2 linked regions of the Struthio camelus genome follow. The protein of the gene in region 1 purifies or fractionates together with the protein of each later gene. This does not show direct contact. Links are inferred from orthologs where the notes say so. Each region holds a gene or a part of one and is shown in the gene's direction. Other genes may lie near its edges.

Region 1 (10,390 bases):
GAAACTTGCCCACTGCTGCTTCAGCATCTGTTTGGTCTCTGGCCCTGATGGCTTTCTGAATGAGAGCTAAAGTCTTGCCAGTCGTTTTGTTGAGAAGGGGAAAATGGATTGAGCTGTGGGAAAACCCACCTCCATGCCAGTCAAAATTGGGAAAATCTGAGGGCTTTTCTCCCTACAAAGGTTTTAAGCAAATTCAGTGAGCTTCTTTCAAAAAGTAAATACTGTTTCTAATTTTAGAATCCATTGTCACTGAACTGTTTGAGCTTACCAGGTTTCTAAAATTAAAACTGAAAGACTTCCCTGCTCATCTTATGGCAGTTGCATTTCCTGTCTTGCAACAGCCACTATTAGCAAGGCTTGTCAGAAAGACAGTAGCAATCTGTCATGATCAGTGAGACAAATATGCAGTGATCCACGCCATTAGCACCACTTCTGCAGCGTGCAGTTTTCATCCAAGCGTTCCAGTCCTGGGGCAGTAAAGACTCTTTGCAGTGAGAAGCTGAAGTCCCTCTTGTAGAGGAAATACACCACTGAGATAAGTGGGTGAGAACTGTTGTTTGTTTTTTTTTTTCAGGCCTGTGATTTTGAAATCAGTCAAATGTTACCAGCAATAAAATAAGTAGGATGGCCCCTTCTTGTTAAGAACACTTGGCTGCCGGGGCGGAGGGAGGTGACTGAGTACAGTCCCTAGTGCAAGTGTGTTTGACCATGTAAATCATGAAGCCTCTCAAATATCTTCACGCTCTTTTGCAAGAAAGACTAGTGATTCCCTGAAGCTCCTAGGCCATGACTGATCCCAAATGCATCACCCTCTGCTTCTCACCACTGTTGCTAGATTTTAATTCACTGGTGGAAACTTAAGTTGTACTATTGCTGTTACCCTATTTTTTCCTTTCCAGCTGCAGCTGACTTGACTATGGCATCTGAAAAGACCACAAAAAATGATCCGCTAAAAGCTAAGGAACAGCAGCAAGCGGTAGGTGCCAAGACAGCTGGTACTCCAACATGCAGCTGTTAAACTACCTGCTAACGGATACAGTGGTAAACTAACTTCTGTCACCATCTCAAATCCAGGCTGGGAGCAGGGGAAAGATTAACCATATGAAGCCATGACTAAATCTAAACCTTTAGTTAATGCAGAGGCTGACTTTTCTTGCTCAAGAAAGAGAACTCCAGGGCTGGCTCAAGCAATGCACATAATTCTGAAACATTGGCTGGTATAGGTCCTATTTCCAAATCTGGGCTTGATGGTACTAAAGCCTTGTATGACTCAGATGTGACAGAGCTCCAGCTTCTAATTCTGGCTTGCCACTGATTGCTAATGGTTTTAAGACAAGACCCTTCAACTGTGAGCTCGATGAGGAGATGGACTTGATAGCACTTAGGACCTTTCTGGATCTATACATGGTTTGCATTCGCTCACCAACTTGAGGCAGAGTGTCTAATATCACTTATTTCTCTCTTTTAGAGTGCTGTTAGCAGGGTGACCAACCTGCCCTTGCTGAACTCTGCATTCAACCTGGTCTCATCTGCCTACAACTACACCAAGGAGACGCACCCTTGCCTCCACAGTGCCTGCAATGTGGCCGAGACTGTGGCCGCTGTCGCAGTCGGCAGCGTGGTTGGTGGTGCACAGCCCATTCTGAACCAACTTGAGCCGCAAAGTAAGTGAAGAGGCTGGAGACGCCCCCCTCTCCCCACAGAGGGGATAGGTGGGAAGGGAGCCTCACAGGCCCTCTGAGGCCCTGGTGACATAGACCAGGCTCAGCAAACACCCTGAGTAACAGGATCAGGTACCAGTCCTATGCCATGAGGTAAACTTCTCACTCCTCATGAAAGAAGGAAGAGGAAAAAAATCAACTTTTTTCTCTTAGCCATATGTAGTCTTCAACAAGTAAACTACCTCTAAATGACATTAGAAGTCTCCTCTTAAAACCATGTCTCTTGCAAAGTCATTCCCACATTATTTTGGCTTATGTGACAAAGCCTAGATAACCACCATGAGCTTAGATGATACCCCTGCTTCGTTAAGGTGCAAGTGATGCCCCTTCTGGGTAACATCTCCTACAGCACATCCTACAACACTTGTAGTATTGCTGACTCCTCCACTGCTCCCAGCCACTCCATAGGCCCACTGAATTTGATGGATAAGGGATTGTCACTAGCAGAAGCCAAGTTTGACCTCATCTGTGGCTTCTTTAAGTGGAGAGGCAAAAGCTCCCTGCTCTGCCTCTATCGCTTCAAGTTGTGAATATCCCATCAGGTAGTATCAGTGTTTATTCTGCCTTTTGCTCAGTTTGTCTCATCCCAAGACAGTAAAAAGCCATTAATCCGCTTCCCTATCCACTGGAAACAAGTACCACGCTCTGGCTGGAGCGATGTGCTCTCAATTGCTAGAAGGCTGGGAAGGCAAAACGAAGAGACTATTTAGCGAGACCCTGACCACCACCCGTACCCCAAACAATGATCTACTTTATTTGCTCTCATGAGCTCATCCTGGATTGGCCATTGTAGGATCAAAAAAGCCTCCAAACTCGAGTAGAGGGACTAACCTGGTACCTGTCCTTCTGTCTAGTTGCACTTGTAAATGAATATGCCTGCAAGGGACTGGATCAGCTGGAGGAGAACTTGCCTTTTCTTCAACAGCCAGCAGATAAGGTAAAGCAAAGGCTTTTTCCAGGGAAGCCATGGCTCACTCTTCTTGCTTGATATAACTGTTATGGGTACAGAAGTATATGGGGAAACTAACTTGGGCAGTGCTGCTTTGTCAGGTCAGTTCCTGGATATGGGCTACAGCTGCCTGAGCTAGAGAAGGCATTGCTAGCTGATGAAAGCCGAGGCTCTGCCTTCAGCGTGTGGAAATAGATTTCCATGTGAATACAGATGTACTGATTTCCTCACCTTTCCCACAAGAGTGCAGGCACAGCATAGCCATGTGAAAAGCTCCCTGAGGGAGGGAAACCTATTCTGGAAAAATGCATCATCTTTCTCTGCCTCACCTTGTTGTAGGTCATCTCAGACACCAAGCAGCTGGTTTCTGCCAAAGTGACATCTGCTATGGATGCTGCCTGTGAGGCAAAAGAAGCAATGGCTGATAAAGTGACTGAAGCGGTGGACCTCACTAAAAATGTTGTTGGGGACAGTGTTAAACTGACCAGGTCAATGGTCACCTCCACTGTCACCAGTGCTATGGAGGCTGCTCAGGGTGCAAAGGAGCTCGTGACTAACAGGGTGACTGAGGCAGTGGACCTCAGTAAACACATTGTGGAGGACAGCATTGGACTGACCAGGTCAGCAGCTGCTTCTACTATCGTCAGTGCTGTGGAGGCCGCTCAGGGTGCGAAGGATCTTGTGACTAACAAGGTGACTGAAGCAGTGGACCTCACTAAAAACATTGTGGAGGACAGCGTTGGACTAACAAAGGCCGCAGTCGCTTCTACTGTTACTGCGGCTGTAGGGGCTGCCCAGGGTGCAAAGGATCTCGTAACCAACAAAGTGACTGAAGCAGTAGACCTAACCAAAGAGGCTGTTCAGGATGGTGTTGAGAAGACTAAATCAATGGTCACTTCTACAGTCAATACAGCTCTGGATGCTGCATATGGCACCATAACTAGCAAAATGAATACAGCCCTGGAGCACAGCAGAGAGGCTATCCAGGAGGGGGTGGAGCTCACTAATTTCATGGTGACCAACAGCATAAGTAAAGCCAAGGCAATGGGCCAAGCAGTGGCAGGTGGTGTGGAATCTGTCCTGGATATATCAGAAGATCTGGTGGATCACTACCTCCCCATGACAGAGGAGGAGCTGGGTAAGAAAATGCTTAGCTGGTAGCTGTAACTGCAAATCACTTTCCACATGATTAGAGAGCACCTGACACTGCAGGAGTCATCTTTTGAAGCAGATAGGTAGCTCTGAATATCACCCAGTTGGCTTTCTGTCACCACTGACGTGCTACGTGGTATAGGACAGAGTTCAAGCACGTGCTAGCTACTCCTTGGTTTGCCTATCAGCCTCAAGGCAAACAACAACTGGGTACATGCTTCAACCTATTTGTCAAGTCTGCTTATCTGAAGAGAGCCCTTCAAGCTGGGACTGGCCTAGTTGTAATCTCTGAACAACTGCCAACCCCTACCACTTATACAGCGAGATTTAGCTTCCTCCCATGTTTCACAATGGGCAAATCTTACCTTTTCCCCCTCACAGCTGGGAGAGCAGAGCATGGAGACAAAGGAGTGAGGGTAGAGGCAGCTGGGCTTTGCCCTGATGGCTCCAGGGCCAAAGGGGATGGGGCACAGGGTAGAGAAGAGACATCTGTTGACAGCTGGATCTCTGTACCCTCTAGGTCAACTTGCCACTGCTGTTGAGGGATTTGATATGGCCTCTGTGGAGGAGCAGAAACAGCAGCGGAGTTACTTTGTGCGTCTGGGCTCCCTCTCTAACAAAGTCCGCCTCCGAGCCTACCGGCACTCCCTGAACAAACTGCAGCGTGTTAAGCAAAGCACGCGGGATACTCTCTCCCAGCTGCAACTAGCAATAAACCTGGTACAAACACCCTTTTTCTTTTCTATCCCACTCCGCAGAGTCTTCTTTCCCCCTGCTAGCACCCAGATGGAGGTGCTTCCTCCATTCTGCACCTAAGGTATGTTTTCTGCTGCATGTCCCTTTGAGTCCCTCCCTGACAGGTAACACTGCAGAATGTGATTCTGGAAGCTGCTTCTTTATAACATGACTCCAGTGCTTAGCAGACAGGAGCGCTTGTGCTGCTTTGTATGTGCTTGCAATGTAACTGTTCCTCATCTCTTTCCATCAGATAGAGCGTGTGAAAGACGAGGTTGGCCAGAAGCTTCTGGACGGGCAGGAGAAGCTCCATCAGCTATGGCTAGACTGGAGCCTGACCCAACCCAAGGGACACCAAATTAAAACTGCCTCCCAACCAGAGGTATCCCTAGAAGGGTGTAATCAGACCTTTTGTGGATAGCGGGCATCTCATCTGCTACAGTAACTGAGCTGTATTCTTTCCTAGCAGGTAGAGTCACGGACCCTAGCTATGCTGCATATCATCACCCAGCAGCTACAACCTGCATATGAGAATCTGAAAGCCAGCATTCAAGGCCTCCCCAGCAACATCCAAGAAACTGTACATCAAGCCACTCAAAGCATCCAGAAGCTCCACACTTCTTTTTCCAGTGCTAAGTCCTTCCAGGACCTCTCTGGCAGCACCTTGACCCAGAGCCAGGACTGTGTGAGGGAAGCCCAAAGATCCCTAGATGACTTGCTAGAATATGTAACTCTCAACGCCCCTCTAAACTGGCTTGTGGGCCCTTTCAGGGCATCAGCCAAAGTATCACAAGACAGCAGAAAGGAGAAGAAATGCAGTATGATGACTGATATGAAATCACCTGCTTTGGAAAAGGGTATGTCACCAAAGGAGGTAGCTGAAGCCCCCAAGGAATCAAAGGGGGCAAACAGGATCCTGGGGGAAGGGTCTAAAGTGCTAGACAGGTTGGAGGAGAAGGTAGAGAAATGCACAGGAGAGGTGACAAAACCTGCAGAGGAGATAGTAACTAATGCACCAGAGGAGGAGCTCTGAAAAATCCCGGTTCTTCTAACCCAAACCCCTTGGCTAGAACTTCTTTTAATCATGTGCCCAGCTGCCAATCTTACAGGAATGCCTCCTGCTCTGACACTATCCCAGGCTTTGGAGGTATGTAGCTGAGCTTACAGAAGATGTAGTTTGCAAGGTGACTTGATAACCAAGGTGGGCTGATTCTGGCATAAAGGTTGCATACCTTTTACTAAAGCATGCTGCATTGAAAGGGAAGATGGGGACCTGTATTTTGGCTTTTTAAATAAGTCAGCACAGCTGTGAATGGCTAGTTCTTGCTGAGAGGAGTTGTAGGAGAGAAGAAATGGTCTTGAAACTTATTTTTAATGTTGGAGCTTTTTTTTAATTAATCCAAGCTGCATCTTAAGAGGATGATGCACTTGGCCTCTTTGATACTGTTCCCTCCTGCTACAAGTTTAGAACTCAGCATTACAGACACTACTTCCTTCCTGACTGTGCCACTTCCTGTGAGGCTGAGACATGCAGCAGACCAGGAACAGCTGGGGGCAAGAGGGTCCTTCCCAAAGGAGACCTCTCTTTACAGAGCAGCCAAACACTTTTCCTTCAGAGAAACACTTACAAGGTGGGATTTTTCTTTTGAGCATGCCAACTTTCAGTGAGATTACTTTCTTAATCCATGTAAGTGACTTTAAGGACCGTCTGTTTGTGTTTAAGTAACTCCATGCATGAAACGTTTTGCAGCCATTAAGAAGCTGGTTTATGAGGCAGCTTTTCCCAGGAGTTCTCTACCATGGTTATGGGATATCTTGTCATTAAAATAGGGGTGATGGGTCCTGTTTTCTTCCCACTAAATAATGTTTTTGTAATTATTCTTAGCCTAACTTATTTAGGTAGCCCATGTCCTGGTATGTGAATAGTGCTAATGCTGGAGAAATGGAAAAAGGCAAACAGATTTCAAAATAAAATTTGGACTGTTTTCACATGAATATCTTTCTCTCATGTATCTAAGGCTGCAGCAGCTCTGATGAGCAAGCAATAGCATCATCTTCTCCCCTTAACCTGAGCCTGTAGGAAGCATTTTAAAGAATTACTTTTCTAGGCAGTTCATCTCCTAATTGCTCTTTTCCCCTCTGGCTTTTCTCCCCTTTGCTAGAACTAAACACTCTGAGCTGGACCCAAGCTCTGCCTCAGTCTTTAGTAGAAAAGTATTTCGACTGTCCTGCCTCCTGGAAGCTTCTGCCTGTACCCCTGGGCTTCAGCTCTGCCCACCCCACTCCCAGCATCAGCCCTACTTGCATCAGTCTCCAGCTCCAACCTCCACCCGACTTGCCTTAACCATCTTTCTGTCCTCCTACTGCTGCCAAACCCCCATGCTTTGAGGAAACAAAACCAAAACTTTCGCTAGACAAAAAAGGTTCGTGTTCAGGGTCTGCTCTCAGCTGCTCGGTGCTACCTTCAGAGGAGGGTAAGTACCGGCAGAGGGCCGGGCTAGCGCCCCGGGCCGCTAATAACCGACCTCATGGTGGGGCGGGGGGGCTCCTTCCGCTCAGCCGCGCCGAGACCCACCTGCCTCGGGTACCGAGTGCTGCCTCCGGGCCGGCCGGGGGAGTCCCGCTCCGCACCGGGCTGCCCCTGCCCCGCTCCGCCCCGGTGCCACCGGGCTGCCCCTGCCCCCCGGCGCCCCCGCTGCTTCCCGCCGCTCCGGGCTGCCCCTGCCCCGCTCCACCGCTCCGCCCCGGCGCTCCCGGGCGCCGCCGCTTCCTCGTGTGACATCAGGGCCCGTCGGGGAGCAGGCGGCTCCCCGCGGCCCCGGCGAAACCGAGAGCGCCGCGTTTCCACCTGCCCCCGGCCCGCCTGGGAAACGCTGCCCGGGCGCCGCCGCCGCATCCCCCCCCCCCCCCCCCCCCCGCCCCGCGCCGGGGGAGCCGGGGCAGCTCCCGCGGCCTCCGCCGAGCCGCTCGGATCGCCGCGGCGGCGGCCGGGCCCTGCCGGAGGTAGGCTGGTCCCTTCGCAGCGCTGGCCCCGGCTCGCGCCTCGGGGAGGAGGGCTGCAAGAGCAGGCGGCACAGAAGAGCGGAGGGGGCGAAGGTGGAAGCGTTACTGAGGGTCGGAGGGCAGAAGGGGGGAGAGATCGGCCTCGGGGCCCTGCTCGGCTCCCCACCGGTTTTTAAGAGCTCGTCGTGCAAGAGAGCAAGCTCAAAGCTGCAGGCTCTGGAGCAAGATGCCCAGCGAGAGGGAGCAGAGAGTTAGGGGAGTAGTGGGAGGTTTTGCTGACTCACAGAGGGGTAGAACATAAATAAGTGTCAAAGGTCTCCTCTACTGTTTTTGAATGCCTGGACTTCCTTTTTTCTTTTTTTTTTTTCCCTTCCTTTCCTTCCTTAGATGTTTCACTGAATCAGAAGTTTTCATAGAAAGACAACAACTTCCTCAGGCTCAGCTTGAGCTCATTCATTAAGCAATTAGAGGATTTTTATGAGATAGAAAAACAATTTGAAATTACAAACTTTCCCCAGAAGTTTGGTTGTTGAGAGCTATTTTTAAACACATTTTTTTCTGGCTTTCCTTTAAATAGAGAAAGATTTTTTCAAACGGATCAGTCGCTGCCAGTGCATCTTCAGCAACTTCTCGCCTGCCTGCCACAGACCTGCCGGAGGCCCAGACCTCCCTCGCTCTACGGACAAGTGCTGCTGGCTAATTTAACTCCGTTCAGCTGGCTTTGGTGAGTGCAAAGGCTTAGCTGGGTTCAGGGATTAGATGCATATGACCATAACGCGTATGTCCACAATTACATTAGACAGCTTGAAAGTGGACGCGAAAGGAATACAAACCTTCCTGGCAGGGTACGAGCGATTTGAAAAGACGCGGAGCCTGTAATCGGCAGGAGGCTTCCTCTAAGCGGGGCTTTATTCCTTAACTGCTCATTACAAGGATGCTGTGAGGCCCCTGCAATCAGCCCCTGCCCAACAGAGGCCACTGGTGGAGATGGACTGTTGATATGAACCAGCTGGACACTTGGATTTACCTAAATATAGTATTAGTTTAGCAATTATTTTAAAACAGTTTAGTTGACATATAACGAACGTGAAGGACTTGCTGTTTGCCTAATAATAGACTTGGGATAATGTGTGGAGCACGTTTCAGACAAGCCTCGGGATATGCAAGTACCAAGTAGATGCAAAAATATTTATCTACAAACCTTTCGAGGAGTCTCCCAAGCTCCCTGCCTCACTATTTCTGAACACTGCCCTTTTTTCTACTCACAGGTTCATCTGGCCAGTTCTTCAAGGCAGAGACTGTCCCTGACTCTGAGATGAGCCCGTGAGCAACAAGGACCTATTCCTTGTGCAGTACTTAAAAGTACGTACGACCAGGGCTTCAGAGAGCACCATAAGGAAACAAACCTTTGCTCTAGAGACTGTAATATGCTTTTTCCATCCATGCTTCTTCAGCGCATTGTCTGGAGAAGCAGCTGATGAGATGGCACAGAGTGCTGAGGTCCAGCCAAGCTTTGAAGACATTTTTAATATTCTCTCCCAGATCCCAGGAGATAAACTCCTTAACCTCAAACATAAACTGAAGCACTTGATATCTAAGCCCAGCAGCAAATTATTGCAAGCCATGGTCCTGCTTACTTTGGGGCAAGAAGCAGATGCAAGAATTTGTCTGGATACTTTGAGGAACGACCAGGCAGCCCTATATATCCACAGGACCAGACTGGGCACTGCGAGAGTACAGGAAGACGGTGAGGATTTGCAGCCCCCCCAGCTGGATGCAGATGCCATAGCGCTTCTGGCACAGATCTACTCGCTGCTGGTAGACGAAAAACTGTGCAGTCGGGAAGCTATGGTCAGAGCCTACCAGACTGCCATCAAGGCCTGTGACACTAGCGGGAACCCTCAGCGGGAACCACTGAAGAGCATCCTGGCTGAGGCTCAGGAAAAATGTGGTGCTGCTATCAGCTTTATGGGTTCAGGTGGCAGGTTCCAGATGATGAGATCGGACCCGGGATTTCTCCAGACTGCCAGCCCAAACCGTGTGGCACGAAGTTCCCCAGTGCAGATCGGAAATGTGTCGGACCTTTCAGGCCCACGGACCTTGCGCTCCTCGGGGAGCCCAGCTTCTTTCATCAGTCACTTTGAGATCAGTGAATCGCCAACAGCCGTTTTTCACACCCAGCCTCCTCACTGTAACCATGTCCCCCAGCTGAGCCAGCTGTGTGCAGAGCCTATGAGCTGTGCTGGAGAGCCTGCCAGGGAGAGCGAGAGCCACGGCCTGCAGGAAACAAGCTGGGCCAACAGCACCAATTCACATCCCATGCAGGGCACAACCGCCCATGTCCCCAGACCAAAGATGGAGGTTCTGCAGACCAGTTCTTGTCATCCATTTCTCCCTATTCCTGAAATTCAGCTTCCTACACCGAGTGCTGTGAACCAACCTGTCGAAAGTAGTGATGTTTCCAGCACAGTGACAGCAGAACCTCAGGCACCAAAAGAAGGCACAGCCCAAAAGCAAGAGGACTTACCTACAGGTCTTCCTGATTCAAGAGCCACAGCGCACACTGGTCCCATCCACACGTCTGCAGAGGATATTCCAGCAGGTACATCTTCCCATACTACATCTCCTACTTCAGCCTGTTCCCTTCCTCCTCATACACCTTCCTTCTCCCCAGCCCTTCCCCCTCCTCTTCAGGCAGTTCCTCCCAACTCAGCATATCCCTCTTCCTTCCATTCATCCTCCTCTCCAGCCTACCCTCCTCCTGTCCAAAATGCAGAAGCAGCATCCACATCAGAGCCAGATGAAGAGAGAAAGTTCTTCACTTTTGTTG
Region 2 (9,508 bases), on another chromosome or scaffold:
CATACTGTGAGGCAAGCCCAAGAGATGGTTTACATTTTCTCTCTGGGTAACATATACAAGAACTTTACCACGGCTTTCAGGAGCCGTCTCTGTACTTTTTGCAGCAGTTGTTGCAACATCTTCCTGTCATGTAGTGACAAGTCACGGTAGTGAGACCATAAATATGAGGCTCAAGAGTTTTACCATTGGTCACTGCCTGTGGCAATGCTCTCAGTGCTTGCAGCAAGCAGGTCCATTACACAACTTTTTGAATTCATGTTTGAGAACTGGCTGATGTGCTTTCCCTTAAAACAGGGTTCTGTAACGTTTCTAAGTGACCACAATTCATTACAGATGCCTCTTGTTCCAACCTTTTCCAGAGTGGAGGAGTTATGAAGTAGGGACTTAGTGTTTAACCATGCTTCAGTGGTGGCCCTGAATCCCAAAAGTAACCTGTCTTGTTGTCTGGTTTGCAGTGGCATGAGTAGGAGTCCTGCCATGCAGGTCCATTGAAAGTCTGTGATTTGCAGTCCTGCAGGTCCTACACACATTTCTTGTTTGACAGTCTGAATGAATCCTTGCCCTACAGCAGACTCATTATTAATATCAAGAGAACTGGGGGAAAGAAGGTGGAATAAGTAGGATAAAGCAAAGCCACACTAATACAAAACATATGTAAATTAGGCTACGAGATACCATAATAAGGAAGTAAAAGGGGTGAAAGACAAGGAAAATGAGTCCTATTGTTGCTTGAGTAGCAAAAGCTAGCATCGATCTGAGCTGATAAATCCACCCTCCTCAGGGCTGCGAAAAGGCAGTAATACCCCTTCTGATCACAGTTCAATTCATGCCACAGCACTGTGAACATCCTTGCATCAATGGCAGCACTGCATCCCCAGCTCAGTGGACAGCTGAGGTGCAACAGTGATTAATCCTTGGCAGAAGGGCACAGCACTGCAGGGGGTCTTTGGTACCAGCCAGTCTCTCTCCAGGAGCGAAGGCAGATTCATTCTCACTCACTGTCTATCCATGAACACTTGGCAAGTAAGTTTGGATGCTTCCACCATCTGTGTGAAATCCTCCCAACCGTTTAGATTAAACATCGACTGCAGTAAAATGTAGGGCTCCAAACTGACCTGACATAGTCCATATGGAGTAGCTGCCACAGATAGTGACTATCTTGACACTGATTAATCACTTCTTCTAGTTGTGTATTTGTCCCTAGTTACCTGACACAGTTCTTCCCTAATAGATTCTGCATGGTTCTGGGGTATTCATGTGACCTTGGCTTTGGGGAATATCTCATCTGATGACACACATTACCTACTCTGATGTAGACTGTTTTTGATCAAACTGACTTGGACATTAACTTTTGATTTTGTTTCTTTCCCCTGTGTACACCAATATCTGTCCTTTACTGCAATGAAAGACACTTTAGCTATGCCAGACTATGTTTTGTTTTGGGTGGTTCTATATGGGTGTCACTTGCTCTGTGCCATATAGCATGTAGAGAGACTCTCTCTCCTTCCACCTCCATGTCCTTACCTGTCACTTACAATCACAGGCTTGACAAGCAATCTACATTGCTGGCACTCCTTGCTTTGAAACTAGTGGTTTAATGACCTGTAACTAGAGTCAAGCATTGCTCAAACAGGCAGTGGTGAAGCTGTCTAGTGATGAAGCCCCCCGCCCCAACTAATTGCAGAGTTTCTCTCTCAATCTGAACATGGTTCTGCTCTTCAGACACACAAAACCCTGAGCTGAAGGCAATAGGTCTTTCAGGCTGATCAAGTGTGAAATTACTACACCTGTTTCATATGGGGAAGCAGCACAAGCAAATGTTATAGGCACCAAGATACTGTAGTAAGGACCCTTCCTGATGATATTAGTGTCTCGGCTCCCTTGCCAGCCTCGGTATGGATTAGGGCCATCTCTAATCAGTGTCTATCAGGCCAGTCAGGGGATGCCACGCAGCTGCTGTATGAGGCGGTACCTAGCCGTTCCCAGGAAGCAATGTGCTTGTGGTACCCTTTGAAGCAAAAGGATCTCGAAGGCATCTCTGATTTTTTTTCATTTTTCCTTGTGATTTATACAAATTGTTTTTCCCAGCAGAACGGCTGAGAAAATTCAACATCCTGCTGAATTTTTGAGACATTTTCTTTTTTTTTTTCCTATCCACTCAGACAGCCTTTGAAATTTGGGCAGGAGACTGACTTGCTGAGCATAAAAAGTGACTGTGCATCAGCTAAACCTTGAGCACTCACTAGCTGGTTCCGTGTTCTGAGCCTAGACTCTAGCTGCAACACAAGGCAGTTTAGGCTTAATTCACTACATGTGACTGTTAAGCTGAGTTATGTTAGCTGATATTGTGCGATCTAGGAAGGCACACAAGGCCAGTGCTGCAACCCATCTGAGAGCAATACTTGGTTATCAGGTGTAGTGTGATTGCGTGCCTGAGACTTTTGGAAGGTCTGAGCAATAGCAATTAATCTGCATGTGATATCGGGTTAGCTGTGGCCTTGAAATCACCATAGTTACAACTATTTATTCATGTCACTGATATATCAGGACAACTCCGTTTGCCCCAGCTAACCTCATATTATAGAGTCCTAGAGATGGTGAGGTCCTCTTGCTACCTTTGCCTCCTTAGCAAGCTGCTGGGTCACTTTGCAGATGTTAAGAATTCATATACTGTTCAAATACTTTCAAATTTCCTTAATGAATGCCTGGAAGATATTACCAGCTGTATTGTCCAAGAGTTTTGCAAAAAAAATTTTTCAGCCAGACTTCATGATTATTGTTTTTTGTATACGAAAACACAAGATGCTTTGTCAGTCTGACTACATCATGGCCATCCTATGCCAGGTAATGCCTGACTACTCTGCTTCAGATCACAGAGGTTGAGTACATACTGTTTGCTGTTGTGTTACTTATATTATAACGTTGTTCAGGAGAGCAAAGCTTTCCCAGACAGGTGTTTTTAGAAACATTGAGATTTTCTGTAACCTCTCCTTTCTAAGAGATCTTTAATGACCCCACCAGTAAATTGCCAGCACAGTGAATCATGTGTCAATTTAGATGTTATTCTTGCCACTTTAAAGAATTCCACACAATACTTTTGTTTCTTCTGAACTGAAGGAGGCAATTATAGAGACATTATGGCTCTCTCCAGTCATTGCACATTGTTATATCCAAGCTGAAGAATATGAGGTTTACTGGCATTGACTTTCTAAACTGGTGGCTGGGTTTGATTCATTAGTTGCATGCTTTATGCTTGTGCTCCACCCCTTGTAGTTTGTATATGATTTGTCCTCGAACTAGTGATGATGTGCATTGTGAAACTATCCCCTACAGTAGAAGCAGCGTATTCTTTGAATGTCCTTCAAGTTGTACTTTCCACTTGACCCCTAGGCATGGCAGTTGGATGGATTTTGTGATCCTCCCAAACTCTCAAGCATCTTCAGTGGGTCTTCTTTCAAATGGTAATTTTAGTGCATACTTCAGGCTCATCTCAGCTTTAGATAAAAATTAAATGTGGATTGCTTTATTCTGCATATTGAATGCTAAAGGACACATTCATTTGTCCTCTCTGCAGACACGATGCTCTGCCAATTTCCTTAATCCAGACACAGAAGCAGTCAGCAATTGTTTCCTTTCACTTTTGATTCCATCTATAAAAGCAAATACCTGCAATCACTAGCGCCTTTTCAGAAAGGGGTTTTTGCAGAATTTGTACAAGTTTTACAAACTTTTTGTCTGCTGGTTTAATGGGTGCTGTCTGACTGCACATCAGGGTGTCGGTTTTAGCTCCCATTGTGCTGCCACATTTTTTTCATCACAGAGATCATCTGTTATTTTAGGTTTTCCCCATCCCTCAATGGCCCTCTACTGACCCACTACAGAAGTCCACTCTTCCCCAAATATTTTAAACTTTTCTTCGTAAGCCTGGTATTGCTTATGTTTTATATCATATCAATTTTCTGACTTTCATAAGTAGTCATTCCCTATTCTATCTTATTCTCAACTAGTATCCCATCCTCATCTCCCATTTTTGCATGTCTTCTATCTATATGTGTTAATAACATTTGGATCTCCAGTAACACTGCTTAGTTAACTACTGCTTAGTTATCTACAGAAAGATGGAAGTACTACCATTTATCAAGATGAAGAAAGGCAGGGAACTTTGTTAGAGGGCTCACAGCCTGTTTAAAGGGATATTACCAACTCTGGGGTTTTACAAAGCCTCTTCTAGAAACAATTGCTGTGTCTACACTGTGTATTAAGGAAGGTGCAGAGACGGTGCTCTGCAATTCATGTAGCAAAGCTTTAAACACAATTCAGGCAAAGTCAGGGCACACAGCAGCTCTAATCCCAGCTGGTGTGCTCATGCCTCTCCCAGTACACTCTTCCCAACAGCTCCCGACCAAGGGCAGGACACAGAGAGGCACAATGCCCTGTGCTCACAGCTGATGCAGGTTTTTCACTGCCATGCAGGCTGAGCCAGCACCTGTGGCTCTGATCCATGAATCTCCTGCCCTTCTTTGCCACTTGTGCCCTGCCACGTGCAGCTTTGTGCTTGTTACGGGAATAATTGCAAGGCTGAGGCACAGCCAGATGGATAAATCCTAAATGCACGTACGTAAGAGCTCGGCCGCAAATAACGCTGTTATTACCTGGCTCAAGAAAACATCTGCTCATCCTAAGTGCTACCCCACTCCTTGACAGTGTGGTATATCTGGGAGCATGGCAGGGGGACTAATGCAGAAAGTCATTCACTCTAACAGTGCATTCAAATTATGGGATGTGAAAAATGACCTTCCTGAATTTGGACTCAGAATTTCACAGAAGTTTCTGTATTTAGCCAGTTTGCCCTGAGCTAATCTGAGGCAATCAAGTCAAGTGACACACTGACACAACTCATATTCCTCTTTAATTTCTAGTCCAAACTCTACCTTTCATTACTTCCTTTTTTTTTTTTTTTTTGTTCTAATTTTTTAAACACGTAGCTGCAAGAAGAAAGATTTACTCAGAGCATGCCTAGAAACCAGGCAGCTACCAGTTTCACTTCCTTCGTGGTTCTGTGCAACTCTCAGTGACGAGCAGTGAGAAGCAGGAGTGGTGAAACACTCAGCATTTCAGGAGATTTCTTGCTCCAAGTCTTTAAGTTATACCCATGGTCCTTTCTCCTGAATGCCTGGCCTCCTGAAGATGCCCAGGAGAGGGGTTTTTCCCCTGTGGACACTCGTGGTGCTGCTGGGACTGATATTTGTTCCATCACAGCTGGCAGGCTGCCTCCTTGATCCCTGTTTGGAGGTATGTGATCTCTAAAAGAGTACAAAATCCTTCTGTTTCACTGCAGTAACTTTTCCGTCTGCTTGGGAGATTTGTGCATCAGATCTGTAGGGTTAGTCGTCTTATGAAAGCTCATGTTTTTACCAAGGATGTTACCAAGGCAATTGATATTTGAAGTGAATGTTGGTCTCAAAAACATCTGAGAACCAGAACCAGTAGCATGAACCATTTCTTCTTGTTGGCTTTCTGTACCTCTGAAGTTACTACAGTACAGCTAAGCTAGTGGATTATGTTGCCCTTCAGGAAGAAATCAAAAACGTATCTATTATTTCTGCAAAGTACAGTATTTTAGCCTGATCTGTACTGCAGAGCGGTTTCACCAGTACCCCAAGAACTTGGCAGTGATCAACAGCCTTTTGCAAACTTTTGCAGATACCCATTACTTACAGAACAATTTCTGTTAGAACTATCCGCTTGTCTGCGATGTAATAAAGCTGAGAGCTGATCTGGGACACGCCAGGCATCCTGTGTGTTTGTTTTTCTGGCTCTCTTGAAGGTTGCTGTCAGTTCATCCATAGCCTCGAGGAACATAGTCCTGTGGTTTTGCACCTGCCTCAATCAGCAAGAACTGTAGCTTTTCCTGGGGAATAAGACTGGTACTATTAAAGTAGGGGAGATGCTTAGGATACCTGAAATTATTTCCTGAAGCTCAAGGGCAGCTTATTTAGAAAAGAACTACAAGGTTACTCATTCTGTTCCCTGCTTTCCTGACCAATTTCCTGACCGTTTGTAAAGTGCAGGTATTGATTGTGATCAGATCTGTCACTGTTACAGGTCATACCTAATATAACTTTCAGATGCACGGGACTGAATATCTCTGGAATTCCCACTCAAGTCCCAAATACCACTCAGAACCTGGATCTCAGTTTCAGCCACCTGAAATCACTGAGCTCAAACTATTTTTTGTCAGTCCCTGAACTTCAGCTTCTGGATCTTACAAGGTAAGGGGCCCTTTCGCATCGATACAGGTTAATCTTGTTTCACCAGTTGGGCCTTAGGGGTTGCTTATCCTGGGTTTTTGCTGCTCTTTGCTGTTCATTCTCTTGCTATTGACTTCGCCTCTGTGTGTCTCTCTCTGCACAGGCCCATGGCCAAGTGATGTGCAGCTTTTAGTCCAGGTATTGGGTGCAGGCATTCTGCTCAGAGCTTGGCCTATCAGCCTGCCCCTGTGGGATGGGGTGGAAGAAGGAGGAGGAGGATCTTTTACTTCTCTCCAAACAAGAAAAATGTCAGACTTTTCACTGTTACAAAAATTCTGAAATGGAACATTTTAGGTGGGCTGTTCTTCTTTTCTCAGTTAAAAAAAAAAAAAGAACAAACAAAACAACAAACCTAGGTATATTCATTTTCTAAAAGGTTGTTTTAAAATATCAACATTTTCTTTTTGTCTTCTCTTCCCATATCTGGGGGAGGAGACGAGGGAAGCTTATTAGCAAATTTGAATAGATGTATAATTAACTTGAGACAAGATTTTCTCTGGGTAAACCACTTCACTGAAAAATGTCACTCAGCCCCATCACAGTTACAGCTGTGAAGTGGCTGAGTGGCAGAACAGGTTTACTGTAAGGCACTGGCTGGGCTGTAAAGCTAATTTTGCTTGCATTCATTCCAGAATACATTTGGCTCTTAAAATTTGGCTTTTCCCGTATAAAATAATCTTTAGGTGGCCCCCTTTGTTTTTTTCCTCCTCCTGTTCTCCTTTACAGCCAACATGGCCTGAGGACTGTCCCTGCTTAGATATCAACAGTAAAACTGTAGAATGAGTTGTGAGCTTTGCCACTGCCGCAGCACACTGGTGCCAGGGTGATGGCCTAGATGTGGCTGAAGTGACAGTCTAAAGGCTGCAAGTATGCAAGGTGTAAGGGAATGGTGTATTTGGTTGGCTCTGCCACCAATGATAGGCATCACAGTATGACTTTCACCTATTTTCACTTCTGTCCTTCTGCCTATGTGCATCTTGACCTTCACCATGGCTCAAGATTTCTTGCTTTGCAATTGAACTCCAGATTTAGGGAGGGAGGAGGAGGTGAGAGGAGGTTTCCTGATATGCAAGGATACCTTTTTTTTGGCTGGTTAATTCTGCCTTCTCCTGGGAAATCACAATGTTCACCTGTAGATTCAGTCTTGCGAGGGAGGTGCTGGGTTCAGGAGGACTGGCTCTGCTCTGCCCAGAGCACTGGAACCAGATGTACCTCCACAGTGAGGTGGATTCTGAGAGCACTGCTTTAGTGCTTAGAGCAATAGTGTCTGTGAATATATATTGAAAAGGAGAATGTTTCATGCACATTTATTCTCTTTTCCTGCCCAACAGATGCCACATCCATACAATTGAAAATAATTCTTTTAAGGATCTTTATAACCTTTCCACCTTAATTCTAACTGCCAATTACTTCAACTACCTGGGGCCAGCAGCTTTCTATGGCTTAACATCTCTGCAAAGACTTGTATTGGTGGAAAACAACATATCTTCTCTGACTGACCTGCCCATTGGACACTTGCATACCCTGCAGGAGCTGAATATGGGCCACAATAACATTGCTTCATTGAAGCTTCCCAAATATTTTGCCAATCTGACCTCTCTCAGGCACCTGAGCTTGCTCTCCAACAAGATCACGTATATATCCAGAGGAGACCTTGATGCCCTGAGGGAAGCAAACAGGTTCAACCTCACACTGGTACTTTCTTTGAATGATATAAAATACATCCAGCCAGGGTCCTTTGCAAATCTTCACCTTGGTGAGCTGGCTTTAAGGTCCTCTTTTGAGAACTTCAATGTGATGCATACTTCCCTTCAAGGTCTGACTGGTTTACATGTCAACAGATTAATAGTTGGAGAATTCAGTGACATTCAGAGACTGAGGAACTTTCAGAGTGGACTCTTGAGTGGACTGTGCCAGGTACAGATGCAGGAGTTCATCTTGATCTGTTTTAGGGATTTTGAGAATAACACAGACACTCTTTTTGACTGCATAGGCAATGTCTCCAGTATTCGGTTGGTGGACCTCCAACTAGATGATGTGTCAAAGGTTCCTATGTTCTCCCAAGTGAAGCACCTGGAATGCAAGAAATGCAAGTTTAAGGAAGTGCCTGCCATGAAGCTGTCTCTTTTTAAGGAGCTTAGAGTGCTTCGTATTACCAAGAGCAAATACCTCAATAGCTTCCGGCAGAAGTTTGAGCATCTAACTAACCTGGAAGTAATGGATTTGAGTGAGAATCGGCTCTCCTTCACCAAATGCTGTTCTCCTCTTTTTCTTGGGTCTCCACATTTGAAATATTTGAACCTAAGCTTCAATTCTGACATCAGCGTCACTGGAGACTTTACTAATATGAGGAATTTGTTAACCTTGGACTTTCAGCACACAAAGTTAATTGGTCCTGGCTCCTACCCTGTCTTTCTCTCCCTTCAGAAACTCATTTACCTTGATATTTCCTATACCAGAACTCATGTTAAATCCCAGTGCACATTTTGTGGCTTGCACTCCTTGCAAGTGCTTAAGATGGCAGGCAACTCCTTTGAGAACAACAAACTGGCCAACAACTTAAAAAACCTAACTCACCTCCACACCTTGGATATTTCAAGTTGCAAATTGGTACAGGTGGATCAGAGTACATTTGCCGCTCTCTCTGAACTAAAAGAGCTAAACATCAGCAACAATAAGCTGCTGAGCTTTGATCCTTTAGTCTACAAGCCTCTCCAAGCCCTCGCAGTCCTGGATTTCAGCCACAACCAGCTGACTGTCCTGTTGGACTCGGCCCTGGAAAGCTTGCCTGATAGTCTGGTCTTGTTAGACCTCTCTCACAACCTGTTCGATTGCTCTTGCACATACCTGAACTTTCTGAAATGGGTCAAGGAAAATCAGGAGATACTTCAGAATAAGGAGCTGATGATGTGCCACGTCCCCGCATATGTAAAGAACGTGAGTCTATCTAGCTTCGATCTGTCCTCCTGCCAGCTCAAAACAAGCACAGTGGCATTCTCAGTGAGTATGTCACTCGCTGCAGCTGTGTCCCTATTTCTAATTTACAAGTACTACTTCCAGCTATACTACTCATTGGTGCTGCTCAGTGGGTGTAAGCACTCTGCTGAAAGGGGGGACACCTATGATGCATTTGTTATCCACTCCAGCAAAGACCAAGAATGGGTGATAAAAGAGCTGGTGGAGCCCTTAGAAGGAGG

What was found.
Region 2: the proteins of TICAM1 (region 1) and TLR4 purify together in Homo sapiens (affinity purification with western blotting; 3 studies listed by BioGRID). This does not show direct contact. The link is inferred for Struthio camelus from reciprocal best matches to the Homo sapiens genes TICAM1 and TLR4.

The regions. Positions count from the first base shown.
Region 1 is NC_090967.1:4,656,977-4,667,366, reverse strand, and holds the start of TICAM1 (TIR domain-containing adapter molecule 1), read left to right. Parts: upstream 1-6,062; 5' UTR 6,063-6,188; exon of another isoform or gene 6,189-6,551; intron 6,552-6,719; 5' UTR 6,720-7,031; intron 7,032-7,132; exon of another isoform or gene 7,133-7,278; intron 7,279-7,476; exon of another isoform or gene 7,477-7,560; intron 7,561-8,137; 5' UTR 8,138-8,284; intron 8,285-8,828; 5' UTR 8,829-9,042; coding exon 9,043-10,390. Other genes in the region: perilipin-3, read left to right, coding at 900-976, 1,469-1,664, 2,576-2,658, 3,010-3,808, 4,343-4,542, 4,811-4,939, 5,024-5,590.
Region 2 is NC_090961.1:9,277,442-9,286,949, reverse strand, and holds the start of TLR4 (toll-like receptor 4), read left to right. Parts: upstream 1-4,997; 5' UTR 4,998-5,169; coding exon 5,170-5,292; intron 5,293-6,105; coding exon 6,106-6,272; intron 6,273-7,642; coding exon 7,643-9,508.